Anolis sagrei: one gene and its partners. The protein of the gene in region 1 purifies or fractionates together with the protein of each later gene. This does not show direct contact. Links are inferred from orthologs where the notes say so. Each region holds a gene or a part of one and is shown in the gene's direction. Other genes may lie near its edges.

The links. Proteins that work in one complex are often made in the same cells at the same time.
Region 2: the proteins of COPS5 (region 1) and BTBD2 purify together in Homo sapiens (affinity purification with mass spectrometry; 4 studies listed by BioGRID and IntAct, counting the BioPlex papers as one, with this or other methods). This does not show direct contact. The link is inferred for Anolis sagrei from reciprocal best matches to the Homo sapiens genes COPS5 and BTBD2.
Region 3: the proteins of COPS5 (region 1) and KLHL42 purify together in Homo sapiens (affinity purification with mass spectrometry; 3 studies listed by BioGRID and IntAct, with this or other methods). This does not show direct contact. The link is inferred for Anolis sagrei from reciprocal best matches to the Homo sapiens genes COPS5 and KLHL42.

What each region holds. Positions count from the first base shown.
Region 1 is NC_090024.1:45,218,139-45,226,198, forward strand, and holds the start of COPS5 (COP9 signalosome complex subunit 5), read left to right. Parts: upstream 1-4,965; 5' UTR 4,966-5,078; coding exon 5,079-5,245; intron 5,246-8,060. UniProt on the Homo sapiens protein: Probable protease subunit of the COP9 signalosome complex (CSN), a complex involved in various cellular and developmental processes.
Region 2 is NC_090034.1:52,728,274-52,735,434, forward strand, and holds the start of BTBD2 (BTB/POZ domain-containing protein 2), read left to right. Parts: upstream 1-4,137; 5' UTR 4,138-4,152; coding exon 4,153-4,661; intron 4,662-7,161.
Region 3 is NC_090025.1:102,406,124-102,413,201, forward strand, and holds the start of KLHL42 (kelch-like protein 42), read left to right. Parts: upstream 1-4,054; 5' UTR 4,055-4,237; coding exon 4,238-5,067; intron 5,068-7,078. UniProt on the Homo sapiens protein: Substrate-specific adapter of a BCR (BTB-CUL3-RBX1) E3 ubiquitin-protein ligase complex required for mitotic progression and cytokinesis. The BCR(KLHL42) E3 ubiquitin ligase complex mediates the ubiquitination and subsequent degradation of KATNA1.

The sequences.
Region 1 (8,060 bases):
GTTCGAGAAGGCGTTCGAACAAGAAGTGCAATAATTGGCAATGACAACAGGAATGGAACAACGGAAAACGATATTGGATTGTGGCTTAACGATGAGACGACGCGAATGACTTTTTTGTATTTTTGTATTATTGATATTGAGATTGTTGATGTTGTTGATGACGATGTTTTGATATTGCTAGTTTGTTGTTAGATTATGTCTTGTAATTTGCACCTTATTCTCTACATGTTGTACACCGCTGTGAGTCGCCCCTGGGCTGAGAACAGCGGCCTATAAGCACAGTAAATAAATAAATAATAATAATCAATCAGTTTTTGGTCAACTTTAGATTTAGTTTGGTTATTTGGGGTGCTGATTCAGAAAATTGCATTGGGTAGACCACATCTGGGGGCCCGGTGGTGCGGCAGGTTAAACCGCTGAGCTGCTGAACTTGCTAATCAAAAGGTTGGCTGTTCAAATCTGGGGAGTAGCGTGAGCTCTCGCCGTTAGGTCCAGCTTCTGCCAACCTAGCAGTTTGAAAACATGCAAATATGAGTAGATCAATAGGTAGATCAGTCTTTGTCACAACTGGTAAATCACCAGCAGTGATAAGATCTACCAACCAAAAGGTTGCCAGTTCGAAGCCCCATGTCGTAGTGAGCTCCCGACTGTCAGCCCAGCTTACTGTTGACCTAAGCAGTTTGAAAACAGCTTGAGCTGTAATAGAGAAATTGGGTACCGCTAAAACAAGTGAGGGAGGTATTTTACAACATCATAAAAAAATCAGAAAATGCCCGGCGACCAAAAGGAAGGAGGAAGTCCTGATGGCTCTTCGTCATAGAGGATGGAGCAACAGCACCTCTATTTAGCTGGACTTGAGCACAACCTCCAAAAAGCTGGATGTTGACACAACATACTGTTCTGTTGTATCTGTCGGGCTCTGTCCTGTCTATCGCAAACGGCACTCAATGCTTGCCATGTATGTTTACTGTGATCCACCCTGAGTCCCCTTGGGGAGATAGGGCAGAATATCAGTGTTATTATTATTATTATTACCGCTTCTGCGGGAAGGTAACACGCTCCATGCAGTTATGCTGGCCACATGACCTAAGTGTTGCTGATGAACAATGCTGGCTCTTCGACTTAGAAATGGAGATGAGGACCACCCCCCAGAGTCCAACACAACTAGACTTAATGTCAGGGGAAACCTTTACCTTTTAAACCACATCAGCTCTAGTTTCTGATACGGAACATATGCCATCCAGAAGTCGCCATCTGCTTTCCCACAGAAAACCATACTGAATCTAGAGCTGATGTGGTAGTAGTAATCATTTGTGGGTAGTCAACCACTCCCCTCTCGATATCCCTGTTGCCTTGGCACTATAAGAAGGTTTCACAAGACCAGTCACAGGGTTTTGCGAGATCAGTCGCTCTCATTGCCACGTAGTTTCGAGGCAACAATGTTTTCATTCTTGTGGACCACGTGTACTGCCACGTCTCAAGGCAATGGCATCCCAGGAGTTGTAGTTTTACAAGGTCTTTAGCCTTCTTGGGCCAAGAGTGTGGCCTCCCCAAATTACAATTCTCATTTACTGGAGTTAATAGACTTTTAATTTAGACATATATACTTATATAGGGATATGCTTATCCATTTGAGTAAGAACTCCAACAACTAGTTCTGTGTGTGTTTTAAAAGAAATGAGAGCTAAAAGGATATCACCCATGAAAAGCACCTCTATGGACATGGGTGGCTTCTTAGTAGTGAGCAAAGATACTGAAAAAAAATATCTTTGATGCACTTTACATTGCTTGAAAGAAACTCAATAAAGTAATTAACAAACAGAAGCACAGGAAATATTCTATATATTAATTGGGGGTGGGCATGCTCATCAAGCTCTGAAGTAATAAATGATAGCAGTGCTATTTCCGGCATTCCTGTTATCTCTATTTGGGTGATTCTTGTTTCTTGAAATCCATTTTTCCAAAAAAATTTAACATATTTACAAGACCACCACATGTGTATATATGTACCAGTTTCTTGCCAGCCCCTCCAGCACTGCTTAGAGTATTTCTTATGGATTTGATTTAATCTGACTGGTGTGAGATGCCATCTCCACACCACTTTGTAATAATTCTCTTTTATTCTTATTGACAGATTTTAATATGCCATATTCCTTTCCAATTTTGAGGGTATATTACTTTAATACAATCCGATTCCCACATTCCTTTACGGTGGTCCTGCTCCTGGACTCCTTCCAACAATATTTTATAGATATCGCTTGTTACACCTTTTTGTTCTTCCTTTTTCTTCCTTACTCCCTCTTTGGCTAATCATTTCTTCAAATTTAGTAAGTTCTCAATCTCCTTTATATTTCTTTCTTATTCCCCTTAACCATCTTTCCAATTGTAGAGCTTTATACCACCCAATACTTCATCCTGATAATTGGTCCTTTATCTCCTCTATATTTTTCATCTTTGGTTCCCAGTCTTTTAATTTCATTATTCCTTTTTCTTTTAATTCTCTTTCTAACTCCTTTTTGAGATTTATAGGAAAATTATTTGTAATCAACACTGGAGTTAATGGGGAGATCGGCGGTATTAATTTTTCTTCATACTTAGACCATATTTCAAATATATATATATACTTAACAGCGTTCTCTATTTTGTTATACCATTTCTTCCCCAAATTCCTGATTTTCCCTATGAAGAAAATATATTCTGGATTTATATCTATGTCTTCACTCCCTCTTCTAACCATTCTAAATCACTCTGACCCATAATCCCTTTGACAATATACCTTAACTGGTTTGCTATGGAATGTCTAGGATGGGAGAAATCCCAACAAAGGATTCCCCAAGGCAGGAAGCAGCCAGACTTTAAAGCTGCAAGGCTATTCAATGTTAATCGAGCTGACTTTATATAACCATGGAATGTCCAGAATGGGAGAAATCCCAACAAAGGATTCCCCCAGGTAGGAAGCAGCCAGACTTTAAAGCTGCAAGGCTATTCAATGTTAATCGAGCTGAGTTTATATAACTGTGGAATGTCCAGAATGGGATAAATCTCAACAAGGGATTCCCCCAGGCAGGAAGAAGCGAGACTGCACGGCTATTCAATGTTAATCAAGCTGAGTTTATATAACCGTGGGATGTCCAGGATGGGAGAAATCCCAACAAAGGATTCTCCCAGGTAAGAAGCAGCTGTAAGGCTATTCAATGTTAAACAAGCTGAGTTTATATAACTGTAGAATGTCCAGGATGGGAGAAATCCCAACAAAGGAGTCCCCCAGATAGGAAGCAGCCAGACTTTAAAGCTGCAAGGCTATTTAATGTTAATGAAGCTGAGTCTGCCCCGGAGTGTAGTGGAGGCTCCTTCTTTGGAAGCTTGTAAACAGAGGCTGGGTGGCCATCTGTCAGAGGTGATTTGAATGCAATATTCCTGCTTCTTGGCAGGGGGTTGGACTGGATGGCCCATGAGGTCTCTTCCAACTCTAGGATTCTATGATTCTATATAACCGTGGAATGTCCAGGATGGGAGAAATCCCAACAAAGGATTCCCCCAGGTAGGAAGCAGCCAGACTTTAAGGCTGCAAGGCTATTCAATGTTAATCGAGCTGAGTTTTTATAACCGTGGAATCTCCAGGATGGAAGAAATCCCAACAAAGGATTCTCCCAGACAGGAAGCAGCCAGACTTTAAAGATGCAAGGCTATTCAATGTTAATAAAGCTGAGTTTATATAACCATGGAATGTCCAGGATGGGAGAAATCCCAACAAAGGATTCTCCCCGGCAGGAAGCAGCCAGACTTTAAAGATGCAAGGCTATTCAATGTTAATCAAGCTAAGTTTATATAATCGTGGGATGTTCAGGATGCAAGAAATCCCAACAAGTATTTTAGTTTTTATCTTGCACATGCGGCCTACTCATTGTTATGTTATTTTATTTTACTGTGTATGATTTTGGTTATTGTTTTTGTACTCATATGTTGTATGAATTTTTCTGTGTTGTCACTGTGTTTTGGTTTTACTTTATTGTAATATGCTGTTGGGCTTGGCCTCATTTAAGCCTCCCTGAGTCCCCATTGGGGAGATGGTGGTGGGGTATTAAATAAAGTTGTTTATTATTATTATTATTATTATTCCCCCCGGTGGCGCAGTCGGTTAAAGCACTGAGCTGCTGAGGTTGTTGATCGAAAGGTCGCAGGTTCGATTCCGGGGAACAACGTGAGCTTCTGCTGTCAGCCCTAGCTTCTGCCAACCTAGCAGTTCGAAAACATGCAAATGTAAGTAGATCAATAGGTACTGCTCCGACGGGAAGGTAACGGCGCTCCATGCAGTCATGCCGGCCACATGACCTTGGAGGTGTCTATGGACAACGCTGGCTCTTTGGCTTAGAAATGGAGATGAGCACCACACCCCAGAGTCAGACATGACTGGACTTAATGTCAGGGGACTACCTTTACCAACCTATTCCCCCAGGCAGGAAGCAGCCAGGCTTTAAAGCTGCAAGACTATTCAATGTTAGTCAAGCTGGCCAGCTGCAATATTCCCACTTGCCTCAAGTAGTCAAGAGTTCTTTGTCCCACCTCAGACATTCCACAGATATAAACCCCACTTGCCTAGTTTCCAACAGACCTCACAACCTCTGAGATGTGGGAGAAACGTCAGGAGAGAATGCTTCTGGAATATGGCCACACAGCCCGGAATATTCACAGCAACCCAATGCAGATGAGAAGTTCATGACTTCCTCCCGGTGCTTACGAATCTGCTTTTAGCCCAAGCTTCTAAGTTCAAAGCTTGTGTCTCCCAGGAGGCCTTGCGGCATGACGCGCCTTTTCCCCCGACAGCGCATGCGCCGTAACGCCAGGCGGAAATGACGCCAAAAAAAGGTTGGCAAGACAAAGCCGATTCCAGGCGGGAGGGTCACGCCGTTGTTGACCGCTAGGGGGCGCGCGAACTAGGGGCGTGCCGCACAGCGCGGACGGAACCCTTCCGCGAAGAGCGACACCCACCGGCTTCCGTAGTAGCACTGGGCTGGCGGAAAACAGGCCGGCAGGCAGGCTCGGTCCGGCTGCCTGCCTGTCAGTGGAGAGCGGGCCTTATGGCGGCGGCGGCGGCAGCAGCGGGGCCCTCGGGCAGCAGCGGGATGGCCCAGAAGACTTGGGAACTGGCGAACAACATGCAGGAGGCGCAGAGCATCGACGAGATCTACAAGTACGACCGCAAGCAGCAGCAGGAGATCCTGGCCGCCAAGCCCTGGACCAAGGAGTGAGTTCTGGGCCCAGCACCCTGGGAGGTGGTGTTTGGGGAGGCTTTAGAGCAGGCATGGGGCAGCTTGGGCCTTGCAAGGGTTTTGGACTCCAACTCCCACCATTCCTCACAGCCTCAGGCCCCTTCCTTTTCCCCCTCACTAGCGGCTGAGGGGGAAAAGGAAGGGGCCTGAGGCTGTGAGGAATGGTGGGAGTTGGAGTCCAAAACCCCTGCAGGGCCTAAGTTGGCCCGTGCCTGCTGCAGACTCATAATCTAAAGCCTGAACTATTCCTAGACGCTGACATAATTGAAATCAGACTGCCATGACTTATCATGAGAAGGCGTCACTCATTACAAAAGACGATACTCATTACAAAATGGTTCTGGCCCAACTTGCCTGTCCAAACAAATCTCCCCTTATGAACCTTCGAGGACTTTAAGATCGTCCAAAGGAGAGGCCCTGCGCTCGGTCCCGCCATCATCACAAGCACGGCTGGCGGGGATGAGAGACAGAGCCTCCTCAGTGGTGGCCCCTCAGCTATGGAACGCCCTTCCAAGGAGATCAGATTGGCTTCTTTGCTCCTAGCATTTCGGAAGAATCTTAAGACATGGCTATTTAAGCAGGCATTTGCGAATACTGAGTAACAGACATTATTATTATTATTATTAACTTTATTTGTACCCCGCTAGCATCTCCCAAAAGACTCGATGCGGCTTACAAAGGCCAAGGCCTCAAAACACAACATAACAATACACAACCTAAAGCAAATTTAAAACAGTTAAAGCAATATTAAACAACATGCAATAAAACAATACACCGGGACACAATAAAACTGGGCCGGGCCAGAGTAATGGGTACAGATTAAAAGTGCTGATGTGACAGGTGATATGTAAGGATTATAGGGTAGTGCAGTGTGCCAGCAATTTTAATTTCTAATAAAGTGCTTTCTGGGACTTGTTGTTGGAGTTTTCCTATTCTGGAAAGGCACATCGGAACAGCCAGGTCTTCAGGTTCTTTCTAAAGACTGCCAACGTAGGGGCCTGTCTAAGATCTTTGGGGAGGGTGTTCCAAAGTCGGGGGGCCACCACAGAAAAGGCCCTGTCTCGCGTCCCCACCAAATGCGCCTGCAACGCAGGCGGGATCACGAGCAGGGCCTCTCCGGATGAATGAAGTGAGCACGTGGGTTCATAAACAGAGATGCGGACATAAGAATGGAATAATAATAATAATATTTATTTGTACCCCGCCACCATCTCCCCAGTGGAGACTTGGAGTGGCTTACATGAGGCCAAGCCCAAACAACAATTACAGTAAAGAACAACCGAACGCAAACCGAAAATGCAAACAATAAACTGCAACATCATAATTACATAAAACATATTAATATACAACAATATAAAATTACAGTAAACACAAACACAGTGACAATGGGCGGGCTATATGTAATGGTTAAAAGAAGAACTAATTAAAACTGGTTAAAAACTCGGGTGAGATAAAAGAGAAACAAATTATTTGTGGAGGAGGGCTCATTATAGTGGGAGTTGTGGAATCAAGCTTTCCCATGAGGGGGGGAATGTATTCTCCAGTGACAGAACATTGCAAATGAATGATAATGTGGGATTGAATACCTATTCACCAAAGGCGCAACAGAAGAGCCAGGTTTTGAGGTTCTTTTTAAAAGTTTCTAGGGTAGGGGCTTTCCTAATTTTTCCTAACAACTACATGACGGGGCTGGACATTGTGTTAATAAGTATTTATTGAATTATGTTTTATTATAGTGTTATGATTTTATTGATGTTGACATTTTATATTGTAATTGTGTTCTTGGTGGCATTGAATTTTGCCTTGTAAACTGCCTCGAGTCGCCGGAAGGCTCAAAGCGGTGGTATACAAATATACTAAATATATAAATAAATATATTGGTGAGGTTGAAAGACCACGTTGCAGATAGAATCATACAGTTGGAAGAAACCCCTTGACAAGAAGCAGGAAAATCACATTCTTACTTAGGCGATCCCTCGTAGTTTGAGGATGATGGTCTTTCAGATGTGGTGCCTTGGCAGTGGGTTCGTAGGTGGCTGTTGAGCCTTATTCTTGATCCGCATGTTCTCCCGCAGTTAAGGACATTGGTTTCCAGGTGGAAGGCGGTTTCTGTCAGGGTTGGCTTGACGCGCCTTCCTCTTGGCATGTTTCTTCCTCCATTTGTGCCTCTTTGAATTCTGCAGCATTGCTGGTCACAGCTGACTTCCAGTTAGAGCACCCAATGGCCAGGGCTTCCTAATTCTCGGTGTCTATGCCATAGTTTTAAGCCCATCTTTAAATCTCTTTTCCAGCCCATCAACATTATGTTTTCCGTTCTTGAATTGGGAGTAGAGTAACTGCTTTGGGAGATGGTGATCGGGCATTCGGACAACATGGCCAGTCCAGCGGAGTTGATGGCGGAGAACCATAGCTTCACTGATGGTGGTCTTTGCTTCTACCAGCACATTTATATTTGTCCGCCTGTCTTCCCAAGAGATTTGCAGGATTGTTTTGGAGGCAACGCTGATGGAATTGTTACAGGAGTTGTGTGTGAAGTCTGTAGACAGTCCACGTTTCGCAGGCATTATAGCAAGGTTGGGAGAACAATGGCTTTATAAATCACATTCAAAGCACCCACGACAAATGACCATCCAACCTCTGCTTAAAAGCCTCCAAAGAAGGAGCTTCCACCATACTGGGGCAAAGAGTTCCACTGCTGAACAGCTCTCGCAATGAGGAGGTTCTTCCTCATGTTCAGGTGGAATCTCCTTTCCTGTAGTTTGAAGCCATTCTTCCGCGTCCTAGCAGAAA
Region 2 (7,161 bases), on another chromosome or scaffold:
CTTATGGGTTAAAAAGTCAGGCTTTCAAATGGAGGCTGATGAAGGCTTTTAAATATTTAAAAGTGGGTTCTAAACAGGGGCACTTTTACATTGGGCTTTAAAATGGGGCTGTTTTGCGGGTTGAAAAAAGGTGGGCCTTTAAATGGAGGTTTGGATGGCTTTTATACATTGAAAGTGGGTTCAAAAATTGAGGCTTTTATGGTTTTGAAAGGGGGGATCTTTAAAATGGTAGTTTAGCTGAAGAGTTGTTTTTTTTTAAAAAAAAATGAGATTCAATATGGAGGCCTTCTTTGAGGGGAGGTGTAGCGAAATGTTTGTTATAGGTTAAAGTTTTAATATATATGTCAGTGTTGTAATAGGGCCTACATTGAAGAGTTGATGCAAGAACAGCCATTATGTTATTCTTAGAGGGCAGTAACAGAAGGAGAAGAGTTAATTTGCATAAAGGGTTCCGATTGGTCCTATGCAAACGAGTAGGTGCAGAAGCTGGAACAGGAATTTAAAAGTTGACAGTTGGGAAATTACTGCTCAAGCAGGGAACTTTGAGACAGTAGAACAGAAGCTCTCCGAAGCTCTAGGTGCTCTTACTGCCTATTACAGGGAAAACCAGCTGATCCCCAACCCATCTAAAACACAGACATGTGCCTTTCATCTCAAGAACAGACAAGCATCCCGAGCTCTGAAGATCACCTGGGAAGGAATCCCACTGGAGCATTGCAGCGCACCCAAATACCTGGGAGTCACTCTGGATCGTGCTCTGACCTACAAGAAGCACTTTTTAAATATCAAGCAAAAAGTGGGTGCCAGAAACAATATCATACGAAAGCTGACTGGCACAACCTGGGGATCACAACCAGATACAGTGAAGACATCTGCCCTTGCGCTATGCTACTCTGCTGCTGAGTATGCATGCCCAGTGTGGAACACATCTCACCACACTAAAACAGTGGATGTGGCTCTGAATGAGACATGCTGCATTATCACGGGGTGTCTGCGCCCTACACCACTGGAGAAATTACACTGCTTAGCCAATATTGCACCACCTGACATCCGCCGGGAAGTAGCAGCCAATAGTGAAAGGACCAAGGCTGAGACATCTCCAGCTCATCCCGTTTGGGTATCGGCCAGCACGTCAACGACTTAAATCTAGACATAGTCTTCTAAGATCTACAGAGAGACTCGCTGGAACACCTCAGCAAGCGAGAGTCCAAAAGTGGCAGGCTCAAACTCAGCACCTCAACCAATGGCTGATACCAAATAAGACTCCCTCCTGGGCACACAGAAGACTGGGCAACTTGGAAGGCACTGAACAGACTGCACTCTGGCACCACGAGATGCAGAGCCAACCTTCAGAAATGGGGCTACAAAGTGGAATCCTCGACATGCGAGTGTGGAGAAGAGCAAACCACTGACCACCTGCTGCAATGCAACCTGAGCCCTGCCACATGCACAACGGAGGACCTTCTTGCAGCAACACCGGAGCACTCCAAGTGGCCAGATACTGGTCAAAGGACATTTAACCAACTACCAAACTCACAAGTTTTCTATTTGTCTGTTTGTTTGCTTTGTTCTGTTAGAAATGTAATATAATGCACTGGTTGCTCTGACACGAAAAATACATAAATAAATAAAAATAAGTTGGCAAATGGCAGTTGAGGCTTGAGTCAGTTTGAGTGCAGAAGCCAGAGTAGGAAGCTAGCAAAATGTTGATGTTTGAGTACCTTTGAAGTAGACTGTTATGAAAAGAAAACTGTAATGAAACCAAGTTATGTGCAACTAAGAAACAGTGATATAAATGTAACCAATAAGCATTTGTACAAGAAGCTATAAATAAACAATGTTACTGTGAAGTTTGTCTGAAACCTGTAATGCAAAGCACTGCACAAGTTTTCTTAAAGAGTCACAGAAGAGCCACAGCTAATTACAAAAAGAGAATCTATGTAGGTTCCTGGAAAGAGTGGGGACAGTAAAGGGATTTAAAAGGAAAGGATTTTCTCCTCCTTAGTCGGAAAATAGATGCTTTTGAGCTGTGGTGCTGGAGGAAAGTGCTGAGAGTGCCTTGGACTGTGAGAAGATCCAACCAGTCCATCCTCCAGGAAATAAAGCCCGGCTGCTCATTGGAGGGAAGGATACTAGAGACAAAGTTGAAGTCCTTTGGCCACATCATGAGGAGACAGCAAAGCCTAGAGAAGACAATTATGCTGGGGAAAGTGGAAGGCAAAAGGAAGAGGGGCCGACCAAGGGCAAGATGGATGGATGGCATCCTTGAAGTGACTGGGCTGACCTTGAAGTAGCTGGGGGTGGTGATGGCCGACAGGGAGCTCTGGCGTGGGCTGGTCCATGAGGTGACGAAGAGTCAGAGACGACTGAACGAATGAACAACAACAAAAGGCTTTGATGCCCTCCTTGGGTAGGTCTCTATTTAAAACCTTCCTATCAGCTAGGCCTTGAAGCCTTCCTAAGGTAGGCCTCCATTGTAAACCTTCCCCTAAGACAGGCCTTGGAAGCCTCCTCAGGTAGGCCACAATTTAAAGTCTCCTCGTGTAGGCCTCTATTCTAAAACTTATTATTAACTTTATTTGTACCCTGCTAGCATCTCCCGAAGGACTCGATGCAGCTTATGAAGGCCAAGGCCTCAATACACAGCATAACAATACAAAACCTAAAGCAAATTAAAAACAATTAAAACAATATTAAACAACAAAACAACAAGCAATAAACAATACACCAAAACACAATAAAACTGGGCCGGGCCAGAGTAATGGGTACAGAATTAAAAGTGCTGATGTGACAGGTGGTATATAAGGATTATTTTTTTTGTGTGTCAGGAGCAACCGCTCCTGTTGTGAGAGAATTGGCTGTCTGCAAGGACGTTGCCCAGGGGACGCCTGGATGATTTTTTTTTATATAAGGCTTATAGGGAAAGTGCAGTGTGCAGTGTGTGGCAATCTTAGTTCTAATAAAGTGCTTCTGGGACTTGGTATTGGAAATTTCCTATTCTGGGAAGGCACATCGGAACAGCCAGGTCTTCAAGTTCTTTCTAAAGATTGCCAATGTAGGAGCCTGTCTAAGATCTTTGGGGAGGGTGTTCCAGAGTCGGGGGGCCACCACAGAAAAGGCCCTGTCTCGTGACCCCCACCAAACGTGCTTGCGACTCAGGCGGGATCACGAGCAGGGCCTCTCCAGATGAATGTAGTGAACGTGTGGGTTTGTAAACGGAGATGCAGTCACGCAGGTAGGATGGTCCCAAACCGTTCAGGGCTTTGTAGATAAGCACATGCACATTTAATTGGGCTCGGAAAATAAACGGCAGCCAGTGGAGGTCCTTGAACAGGAGGGTTGACCTCTCTTTATAAGGGGTACCAGTTAACATCCTGGCCGCTGCCCGTTGGACCAGTTGAAATTTCCGGGCCGTTTTCAAGGGCAGCCCCACTTAGAGCGCATTGTTGTTCATTCATTCAGTCGTCTCCGACTCTTCGTGACCTCATGGACCAGCCCACGTCAGAGCTCCCTGTCGGCCGTCACCACTCCCAGCTCCATCAAGGTCAGTCCAGTCACTTCAAGGATGGCATCCATCCATCTTGCCCTTGGTCGGCCCCTCTTCCTTTTGCCTTCCACTTTCCCCAATCTAGAGGTGACCAAGGCATGGACCACCCCGGCCAGATCAGCCTTCGCGAAGTACGGTCGCAGTTGGCGCACAAGTCTTAATTGTGCGAAAGCCCTCCCGGCCACTGCCGACACCTGAGCTTTCAAACGTAAGTGATGAATCCAGGAGGACAACTTTCCCCTCAGATAGGCCTTGATGCCCTCCTTGGGTAGGTCTCTATTTAAAACCTTCCTATCAGGTAGGCCTCGAAGCCTTCCTAAGGTAGGCCTCCAATGTAAACCTTCCCCTCAGACAGGCCTTGGAAGCCTCCTCAGGTAGGTCACAATTCAAAGTCTCCTCAGGTAGGCCTCCATTCTAAACCTTCCCCTCAGCCAGGCCTTGAAGCCTTCCTCAAGTAGGCCTCCATCGAGAACCTTCCCTTCAGCTAGGTATGGAAGCCTTCCTCGCATAGGCCTCATTCGGCAGGCGGCCATTGCGCCTCCTTTCCCTCAGGCGGCGCCTTCCCTCCTCTCTCCCTCCATTTTCCTCCCTCCCTTCCTTCTTCCATGGGCCGCAGCGGAAGCCCGTGCTGTTTCCTCCTCCTCCCCTTCTCGGTCCCTTGGGCTCCTCCTCCTCCTCGGCGCCGAAAAATGGCGGCCGGAGCCGGGCCCCTGGAGGAAGGAGTCGGCGGCGAAGGGGGCCTGCCTTTCTCCTCCTCGGCGCCGCCTCCTCCGCCTCTCCCGCCCTGCTCCAACCTGGGCGGAGCGCCCCCTCACGCGAGGCCCGAGGCTCCGGGGCCTGGTGCTGCGCAGAACCGGGGCGGAGGCAACCCGCGCATCCAGGGGGTCGCCTCCTCCTCCTCGCCTCCTCCTCCCGCGGCCTCGGCGCCGTCGTCTTCCTCGTCGCCACCTTCCCCGCCGCCTTCCTCGCCTCCGCCCTCGGCCTACAACTGGCAGGCCACCAAGCCCACGGTCCTGGAGCGCATGGCCTTCCTCTTCAACAACGAGGTGCTCAGCGACGTCCACTTCGTAGTCGGGAAAGGACGGAGGGGCGCCCAACGCCTCCCTGCACACAGGCAAGGAAAGAAGAAGGGAGGGAGGAAGATAGGAAGGGGGAAAGAAGGAAGAAGGAAGAGGGAAGGAAAGAAGAAAGAAGGAAGGAAGATGTGTGGAAAAAAGGAAGGGAGGAAGAAGAAGGAAAGGATGAAGGAAGGAAGGAAGGAAGGAAGGAAGGAAGGGGCAGGGAGGGAAGGAAATATAGACATATATACATGTATTTGTTTATGTTGTCATGTCTGCATGTGTGCTCTGAATGAATTTGTGTGTTTTTATACATATAGACATACACACACATATCTATCTATAGATATATACACAAGTACACACATATTACACAGAGGTACACACTCACATATACTGTATACATATATAAACACACACAGATACATACACTTATGCACACACACATATACATGCATAGGTTATTGTAGGTTTTTTCAGGCTATATGATCATGTTCTAGAGGCATTCTCTCCTGATGTTTCGCCTGCATCTATGGCAGGCATCCTCAGAGGTTGTGAGGTCTGTTGGAACTAGAAAAATTGGGTTTATATTTCTGTGGAATGACCAGGGCGGGACAAAGGACTCTTGTTTGCTGGAGCCAGGTGTGAATGTTTCAACTGACCACCTTGATCAGCATTTGATGGCCTGGCAGTTTTTTTTGGTGTGGTTTGTTAGTGCCTGGGGGAATCTTTGGTTGAGAGGTGATTAGCTGTTCCTTATTGGGCCGTTTTAGGTTTTTTCGGGCTATATGGCCATGTTCTAAAGGCATTCTCTCCTGATGTTTCGCCTGCATCTATGGCAAGCATCCTCAGAGGTAGTGAGGTCTGTTGGATCTAGGAAAAAGGTTTTATATATCTGTGGAATGACCAGGGTGGGACAAAGGACTCTTGTCTGCTGGAGCCAGGTGTGAATGTTTCAACTGACCACCTTGATTAACATTTGATGGCTTGGCAGTGCCTGGGGCAATCTTTTGTTGAGAGGTGATTAGATGTCCCAGATTGTTTCCTCTCTGATGTTTTGCTGTTGTGATTTTAGAGTTTTTTAATACTGGTAGCCAGATTTTGTTCCATTTTCATGGCTTCCTCCTTTCTGTTGGAATTTTCCACATGCTTGTGGATTTCAATGGCTTCTCTGTGTAGTCTGACATGGCGGTTGTTAGAGTGGTCCAGCATTTCTGTGTTCTCAAATAATATGCTGTGTCCAGGTTGGTTCATCAGGTGCTCTGCTATGGCTAACTTCTCTGGTTGAAGTAGTCTGCAGTGTCTTTCATGTTCCTTGATTCGTGTTTGGGCAATGCTGCGTTTGGTAGTCCCTATGTAGACTTGTCCACAGGGAACCACTGACCGCATAGGGAAAGTGATGAGGAAACACAATATACAAACTATCTACAGACCCACCAAGAAAATCCAACAAATGCTACGTTCAGCAAAGGACAAGAGGGATCCTCTCCCTTCTGCAGGAGTCTACTGTATACCATGCAGCTGTGGACAAGTCTACATAGGGACCACCAAACGCAGCATCGCCCAAGCACAAATCAAGGAACATGAAAGGCACTGCAGACTACCGCCAGGCCATCAAATGCTAATCAAGGTGGTCAGTTGAAACATTCACACCTAGCTCTAGCAGACAAGAGTTCTTTGTCCCACCCTGATCATTCCACAGATATATAAACCCAATTTTCCTAGTTCCAACAGACCTCACTACCTCTGAGGATGCTTGCCATAGATGCAGGCGAAACATCAGGAGAGAATGCCTCTAGAACATAGCCATATAGCCCGGAAAAACCTACAGCAACCCAGTGATTCTAGCCATGAAAGCCTTTGAAAATACATATACATACATAAATGCACACTTATATATGTGTATTTATACACACATATATTACACATATGCAGATACACATACATAAAAAGCACATATATAAATATGTATAAATACACATATCGTACATACATAAATACAGACGCACACACACATATATATACATGCAGTTCCCAAGTTACAAAGAAGATCAGTTCTGCAGGTTTGTTCTTAAGTTGAATTTGTGTGTAAGTCAGAACAGGGACTTTTTATGTGTAACTTTAGCTAAAACAAACATTTTGTTAGCTTTGGATAGCATAAACCCCTAAGAGGTTTCCTTTGCTGTCTGTGTTCAGAATATTTCGTCGCACTTTATGCCCCTGTGGTAATGGGATTTTGACAAAGGCAGCTTGTTGTGGAAACAAGGATTGATGATAAAGCTTCAGTGGAGGCCTCTTTTCCCCATGATAATAACACTTTCAGGACTTTCTCTTCCTATCGAGGGGCAGATTTCTCCTGTTGTCTCAGTCTCTGCCTTTGTAACTTGGAATCGGATGTAAGTCAGGTGCCTGTAACTCAGAGACTGCCTGTATATATAATCACACACACACACACACATTACATACTTGTGTGTGTGCGTGTCTATGCATGTATATGTGTTTGCATGTGCCACATGGACCTGTACTTTGTGTGTGTTATTTATTTGTGGGTGTGTT
Region 3 (7,078 bases), on another chromosome or scaffold:
CAATTACAAGGGGAAAGCTTGGAATTGATTGTGAGGCTCAGGCTCCTTCTACAATGCTATATAATCCAGATTATCACAGCAGATAATCCACATTATCTGCTTTTAACTAGATTATATTAGTCGACACCAGGGCCGTAGCCGGGGTTGAAAATTTTGCGGGGGGGGGGGGGTTGAAACCTGCCTCCTAGCTCACGTTGAAGCAAAGAGCACAGCAGGGGGCAGAGCAACCTTCAATAGCCTGCAGCTCTGCCCCTGTCAACCACCTCCACCAAGTCTGGCCTCCTTAATGAGAACATTCAACACACACACGCCCAACTTGGTTGCTTCACTACATCGGCTATTGCTGCAAGTAATGACAGTGTGAATAAATTGTCAATATTTGCTTGAGATAGTGCTTGCAGTTCTGGAGGGACTCTTAATTTTTTGCATCTCATAGACTTAGCATGGGGATTTGGTTAACCAGTTAAAATTCATGAGTAACACCAATATAACAGAAAATAAGCAGGCTTGTTATACACTATTATAGAATAACCCCGCAGTTGCCACCAATACAAGGGAATTAAGGGCTGCCTTGTGATTAATCTCACCGCCTGTCCACCAGTATAAAAGAATCTTTACACGGGATTTCTTTTATATATATATATATTGCTGGAATGTGTGTGCTCTGGTAGAGTGAACATTGCTTCAATCTTCTTCTATTTTTGAGATTTTCTGCCACCACCTAAGCTGTCTTAGGATATTGAAATTGATCCTCTGAGGTAACCCTTTTCCCCGCCAACCCAGCTCTCCCTCAGCTCCCACAAATGACTGAGATATTAGGATGTTGAAGAAACTTGAATTATTCCCACAGGAACGAATAACGATTGAGGCTTCTTTAAAAGTTGAATAGAGAAAAGATTTATTGATAAGAACAAACAAACAACTGACTTCTTTCATGAGGCACAAAAGCTCAACTTGTTACTAAGGTACAATATTCTTGATGGTTCCTTTAGAATAAAGCGAGATAAAGTGAGAAAATTTTGGAGGGGAATACATAAGGAAATTCAAATTATGCAGAAAATACAGTTGCCCTTGAAGCCAGAGATCTTTCTGCTGGGGATGTATGATAGAAAACTGAAGGAAAATAAAGATAAAATACTATTTTTGGCGTTGACAGCAGCAAGGATGTGCTATGCCAAAGTATGGAGACAAGAAGAGATTCCAGAGATAAATGATTGGGAAACAAAAATGTTAGATATTAGGAACTTAGACAAGCTAACCTTTCTATTGCTGAAAAACAAAGAAATTAATAGGAAAGAAACGGATTGGAGTGAAGCTACAGAATACTTGAAAAAGAAGAAAAAAGAAATAGTAATTTAAGAAGTACAAAAATAGATTGAACTACGTCAAAAAGAGGGAAAGAAGAAAAACAAGAACACAAATAAAAAGACTGATAAGATTTTCCGAAGATACCAGGAGGTCAACTTTTAGTTTCACTTTTTCATCTTTTTTCTTTTTCTCTGTTTTTTTTAAAGTTTCTAACGTTTCTTCTTGTTTATTTTTTCCTTGTTCTTTTTTTTGTTTTTTATGTTTTATGAAAACTTCAATAAAAAATATTTTAAAAAAAGAAAGTTACTTGACTTGATCTCCTGACAAAATTCCTCACTCTACAATAACGCAGTAGCAGTGAGTTCCCCAGACTAACCCACTCAGGCTGTCTTAAGAGCAATTAGCACACTCTAATCAGAGTTCTCTACAGCTAATCTACTCTACCCAGAGAGCAAACCACTTGTGCTAACACCCACAAACAATCAGGAGGCTACTTCACCCTTCTGGCCAATAATGCAGCCTTGCCTGCCACAAACGCTCTCTGTCAAAAACCCAAGGCTCAAAAGTACCTCTCCTCTCTTCAATTCCCAGATTCCGTCTCCTTCTCTTTCTTAGAAGCTGTCACTTTTTCCCTCCCAAGACTTGGCTCCTCCCATCTGTTCTAGCCAATCCTAGGATACCTCCAGCTCCCCCCCCCCCTCTTCTAACTTTACCCTCTCAAGATGTCTGCTTCCCTGGCTTACACTCCCAAAATGGAGGCCTGCCTCACTGACATGCCAGGCTTCTACTTCGGCCTACGAGGTAAGAACATTGCGCAAATGGGACAAGTGTAAAAGCAAAATTGTAAGCAATTTTATACACATAAATTTCCATTCACCAACATTGTCCCATTCTGAAATACTCCCTTTTACTGATTGGCCAGTGCCGAGAAGCTGGCTGATATTCTCCAGGCCTCTGATTGGTTGGGAGGCGGGTCCAAGGCAGTGCATGTCAGCTGGAAGGAGATCCTCCGTTTCGTCATCACCACCTCTTTCAATCACTTGGACCCACCTCCTGACCAATCAGAGGCTTCCAATGGACGGGTGGAAGTGATCCAGGGAAGGGAGGACCTCCAGAGACTGCGCCAACCTCTGGGTGGGTGGTGTTGGAATATGGAAAGAAGTCTAAAAGCCGATCTGACAGAATTATGCAGATACTGGATCCTGCTGGAAAACACAATGGATGTTGCTGTCCCAGACATCTTTTCATGACAAGAGACAAAGAAAGAGTCTCAAATATGTATATTTGTTGGTGGGATTGTAACCACAGTTTCATCCTGGATATAAGAAGGTGTCTTAGATACATTGTAGTGATCTCACTTGTCCCTTGGCTGGGAAGAAGAGAGAGGATCAGCTGGCGATCTCCACTGAATCTGATGTGTAATCCAGGGGGTCGATAGTTGGGATTTTATCTGTTCTAGAAGGCAGAATTTTGGGAGTTTGGGAGAACTGACCATGGAACAACAGACTGGTTCAAGATTGGGAAAGGCGTACGGCAAGGCTGCATACTCTCACCCAACCTTTTTAACTTGTATGCAGAACACATCATGCGATGTGCGGGGCTTGAGGAATGCAAAGCTGGGGTGAAAATTGCTGGAAGAAACATTAACAACCTCAGATATGCAGATGACACCACTCTGATGGCCGAAAGCGAGGAGGAGCTGAGGAGCCTTCTAATCAAGGTGAAAGAAGAAAGCGCAAAAGCCGGGTTGCAGCTAAACATTAAAAAAAAACCAAGATTATGGCAACAAGAATGATTGACAACTGGAAAATAGAGGAAGAAAATGTGGAGGCCGTGACAGACTTTGTATTTCTAGGCGCAAAGATTACTGCAGATGCAGACTGTGGCCAGGAAATCAGAAGACGCTTACTTCTTGGGAGGAGAGCAATGACCAATCTTGATAAAATAGTAAAGAGTAGAGACATCACACTGGCAACAAAGATCCGCCTAGTCAAAGCCATGGTATTCCCTGTAGTCACCTACGGATGTGAGAGCTGGACCTTAGGGAAGGCTGAGCGAAGGAAGATCAATGCTTTCGAGCTGTGGTGTTGGAGGAAAGTTCTGAGAGTGCCTTGGACTGCGAGAAGATCCAACCAGTCCATCCTCCAGGAAATAAAGCCCGGCTGCTCACTGGAGGGAAGGATACTAGAGACAAAGTTGAAGTAGGTTCTTGTGGGTTTTTTCGGGCTATAGAGCCATGTTCTAGAGGCATTTCTCCTGACGTTTCACCTGCATCTATGGCAAGCATCCTCAGAGGTTGAGAAGGTCTTTGGCCACATCATGAGGAGACAGCAAAGCCTAGAGAAGACAATTATGCTGGGGAAAGTAGAAAGTGAAAGGAAGAGGGGCCGACCAAGGGCAAGATGGATGGATGGCATCCTTGAAGTGTCTGGACTGACCTTGAAGGAGCTGGGGGTGGTGACGGCGGACAGGGAGCTCTGGCGTGGGCTGGTCCATGAGGTCACGAAGAGTCGGAGGCGACTGAACGAAGGAACAACAACAAGAGGTTAGGCTTAGGGTACGGTTCAGGGTTAGGGAAAGGGTTTCCCCATGAAAGAACTCTTACATGCCTTCTATATGATCTGTCTCAGGCTTGGCTTGCATTAGCCAAGTCTCTCTTGCGCAAATTGCGCTCCCAAAGAAGCGATGCGTCCCCTCGGTTGCGCTCGGAGCTTCCGGACCCAGCAATCCTCCTATTACGGGGCCAGGGCTGCGCGGAGTGCCAGAGCTGAGCAGGGCAGCTGGGGACGAGGCGGGTGTTGTCCTGCCCGGGCAGAGCCCGCTTTCCCGGGGGAGGAGCGGAGCGGCGTTGCCCTTCTTTGGGCTTCTTTCTGTCTTCCTTTCTCCACCGGGGAAGTGCGGGTCCCTCCCCTTCCGGCGGGCGGCAAAGATGATGTCCGGCTCGGGGCTGTGTGAGGCTCCGGGGGACGAGGTGGTGGAGATCCGCCTGGGCGAGCGTCGCTTCCCGGCGAGGAAGCGCCTGCTTCTGGAGCAGAGCGACTTCTTCGGGGCGCTCTTCCGCTCGGGGATGCGGGAGGCGGCGGCGGCGGGGCTGCGCCTGCGCGGAGGGCTGAGCGCGCGCGGCCTGGAGCTGGTCCTCGACTTCATCCACTGCGGACGGGTGCCTCTCGAGGAGGAGGATGAAGAAGGCGAGGAGGAGGGCTCCCTGGCACTGGAGGAGCTCGTGGAAGCCGCCTGCTACTTGCAAGTCACGCCGCTGCTGCGCCTGCTGGCCTCCGGGCTGCGCCTGCCCAACTGCCTGCGCCTCCTCCGCCTGGCCCAGCACTACGGCCTGCGCGAGCTGAGAGAGGCGGCGCTGGCCTTCATGGCGGCCCGATTCCACGCCCTACTCCGCCGCGCGGAACTTTTGCCCAGCGCCTTGCAGCAGCAGCTCCGGGAGAGGCGCCTGGCGGGAGCGACTCCTGCTTTGATCGCCCTGGGTCGCTTCGCCGGGCAAAGCCACGCCAGTCCGAACCCCGAGGAGGCCTCGCTCTGCTCCGCGCTGCGCTACGATGAAAGCGCCCGGCGCTGGCTACCTCTTCCCGGGGCGCTCCCCGCCGCGCTGGGCAATGTGCGCGGATATGGCGCCGCCCTGCTGGACAACTACCTCTTCCTGGCCGGAGGGTACCGCCTCACCGCCAGCCAGGAGATCGCCGCCGCCCACTGCTACAACCCCAGCCTCCACGAGTGGAGCCCCGTGGCCTCCATGAACCAGAAGAGGTAACGCCTCCTTCTCCACTCTCCCTAATGCCTCCACCCCTATAGACAGTCCCCCTTGTGGTGGTGACCCCCAACCATCACATTATTTTCCTTGCTACTTCACAACTGTAATTTTGCTACTGTTATGAATCATAATATATATATGTATATCTGTTTCACCATTGCCTTACCACCAGTTACTTTCAGTCGGACAATGAATTCTACGAACAGAAAGATGGAGTAGCTATGGGGAGCCCTCTCAGCCCGGTCATAGCTAACTTCTACATGGAACACTTTGAAGAACAAGCCCTGGAGACAGCAACCAAAAAGCCCACCATACGGTTCAGATATGTAGATGACACCTTCACCATTTGGAGCCATGGAGAAGAAGAACTCAACAGGTTCCTGGACCATCTTAACAGCATCCACCCAAACATCCAATTCACCATGGAAAAGGAAAATGAAGGAAGACTGCCTTTCCTAGATGTCCTAGTCATCCGCAAACCAGATCAACAATTGGGTCACACCGTTTACAGAAAACCCACACACAGAGATAGATATCTACATAAAAACTCCAACCATCACCCAAGTCAAAAAAGAAGCACCATCAAAGCCTTGGCAGACCGTGCAAAAAGAATCTGCGAACCCCACCTTCTCCAAGATGAACTGAACCACCTCAACTGGGCTCTCCAGGCCAATGGATACTCCACCTCAGACATCAGAAGAGCTGCAAGACCAAGAACAAGCCACGAGAGTCAAGATGAAGATCCACCCAGAGGAAAAGTGTTCCTGCCATACATCAAGGGAACCACTGACCGCACAGGGAAGCTGATGAGGAAACACAACATACAAACAATCTACAAACCCACCAAGAAAATCCAACAAATACTACGTTCAGCAAAGGACAAGAGGGATCCTCTCACCTCTGCAGGAGTTTACCGTGTACCATACAGCTGTGGACAAGTCTACATAGGGACCACCAAACGCAGCATCGCCCAGACACGCATCAAGGAACATGAAAGGCACTGCAGACTACTCCAACCAGAGAAGTCAGCCATAGCAGAGAACCTGATGAACGAGCCTGGACACAGCATATTATTTGAGAACACAGAAATGCTGGACCACACCAACAACCACCATGTCAGACTACACAGAGAAGGCACTGAAATCCACAAGCATGTGGACAATTTCAACAGAAAGGAAAAAACCATGAAAATGAACAAAATCTGGCTACCAGTATTAAAAAACTCTAAAATTACAACAGCAAAACAGCAGGGAGGAAACAACCAGGCACATCTTAACACCTCTCAACAAAAGATTTTCCCAGGCTCAGCCAGGCCTTCAAATGCTAATGAAGGTGGTCAGTTGAAACATTCACACCTAGCTCCAGCAGAGAAGAGCTCTTTGCCCCACCCCAGCCATTCCGCAGATATATAAACCCATTGTCCTAATTCCAACAGACCTCACTACCTCTGAGGATGCTTGCCATAGATGCAGGCGAAATGTCAGGAGAAATGCCTCTAGAACATGGCCCTATAGCCCAAAAAAACCCCACAAGAACCTAGTGATTCCAGCCATGAAAGCCTTCGACAATATATGTAGGATGTTTGCATCTGATATCTGATATGTAGGATGTTCACTGGACCAGATTTGGCACAAATATTCAATATGTCCGAATTTGAATACAGGTAGGATTGGGAAAGGGGATTAATTTTGTGATTTGGGAGCTGTAGTTCCTTGGATTTATACAGTATAAACCCCATTTTCCTAGTTCCAACAGACCGCACAAGCTCTGAGGATGCTTGTCATAGATGCAGGTGAAACGTCAGGAGAGAATGCTTTTAGAACAACGTTTCTCAACCTGGGGTCGGGACCCCTGGTGGGGTCATGACAGGGTGTCAGAGGGGTTGCCAAAGACCATCAGAAAACGCAGTATGTGAGACCTTTGGCCCAATTCTCTGGTTGGTAGGGTTCAGACTGCTATAAATCCCAGCAACTATAATTCCCAAATGTCAAGGTCTATTTCCCCCAA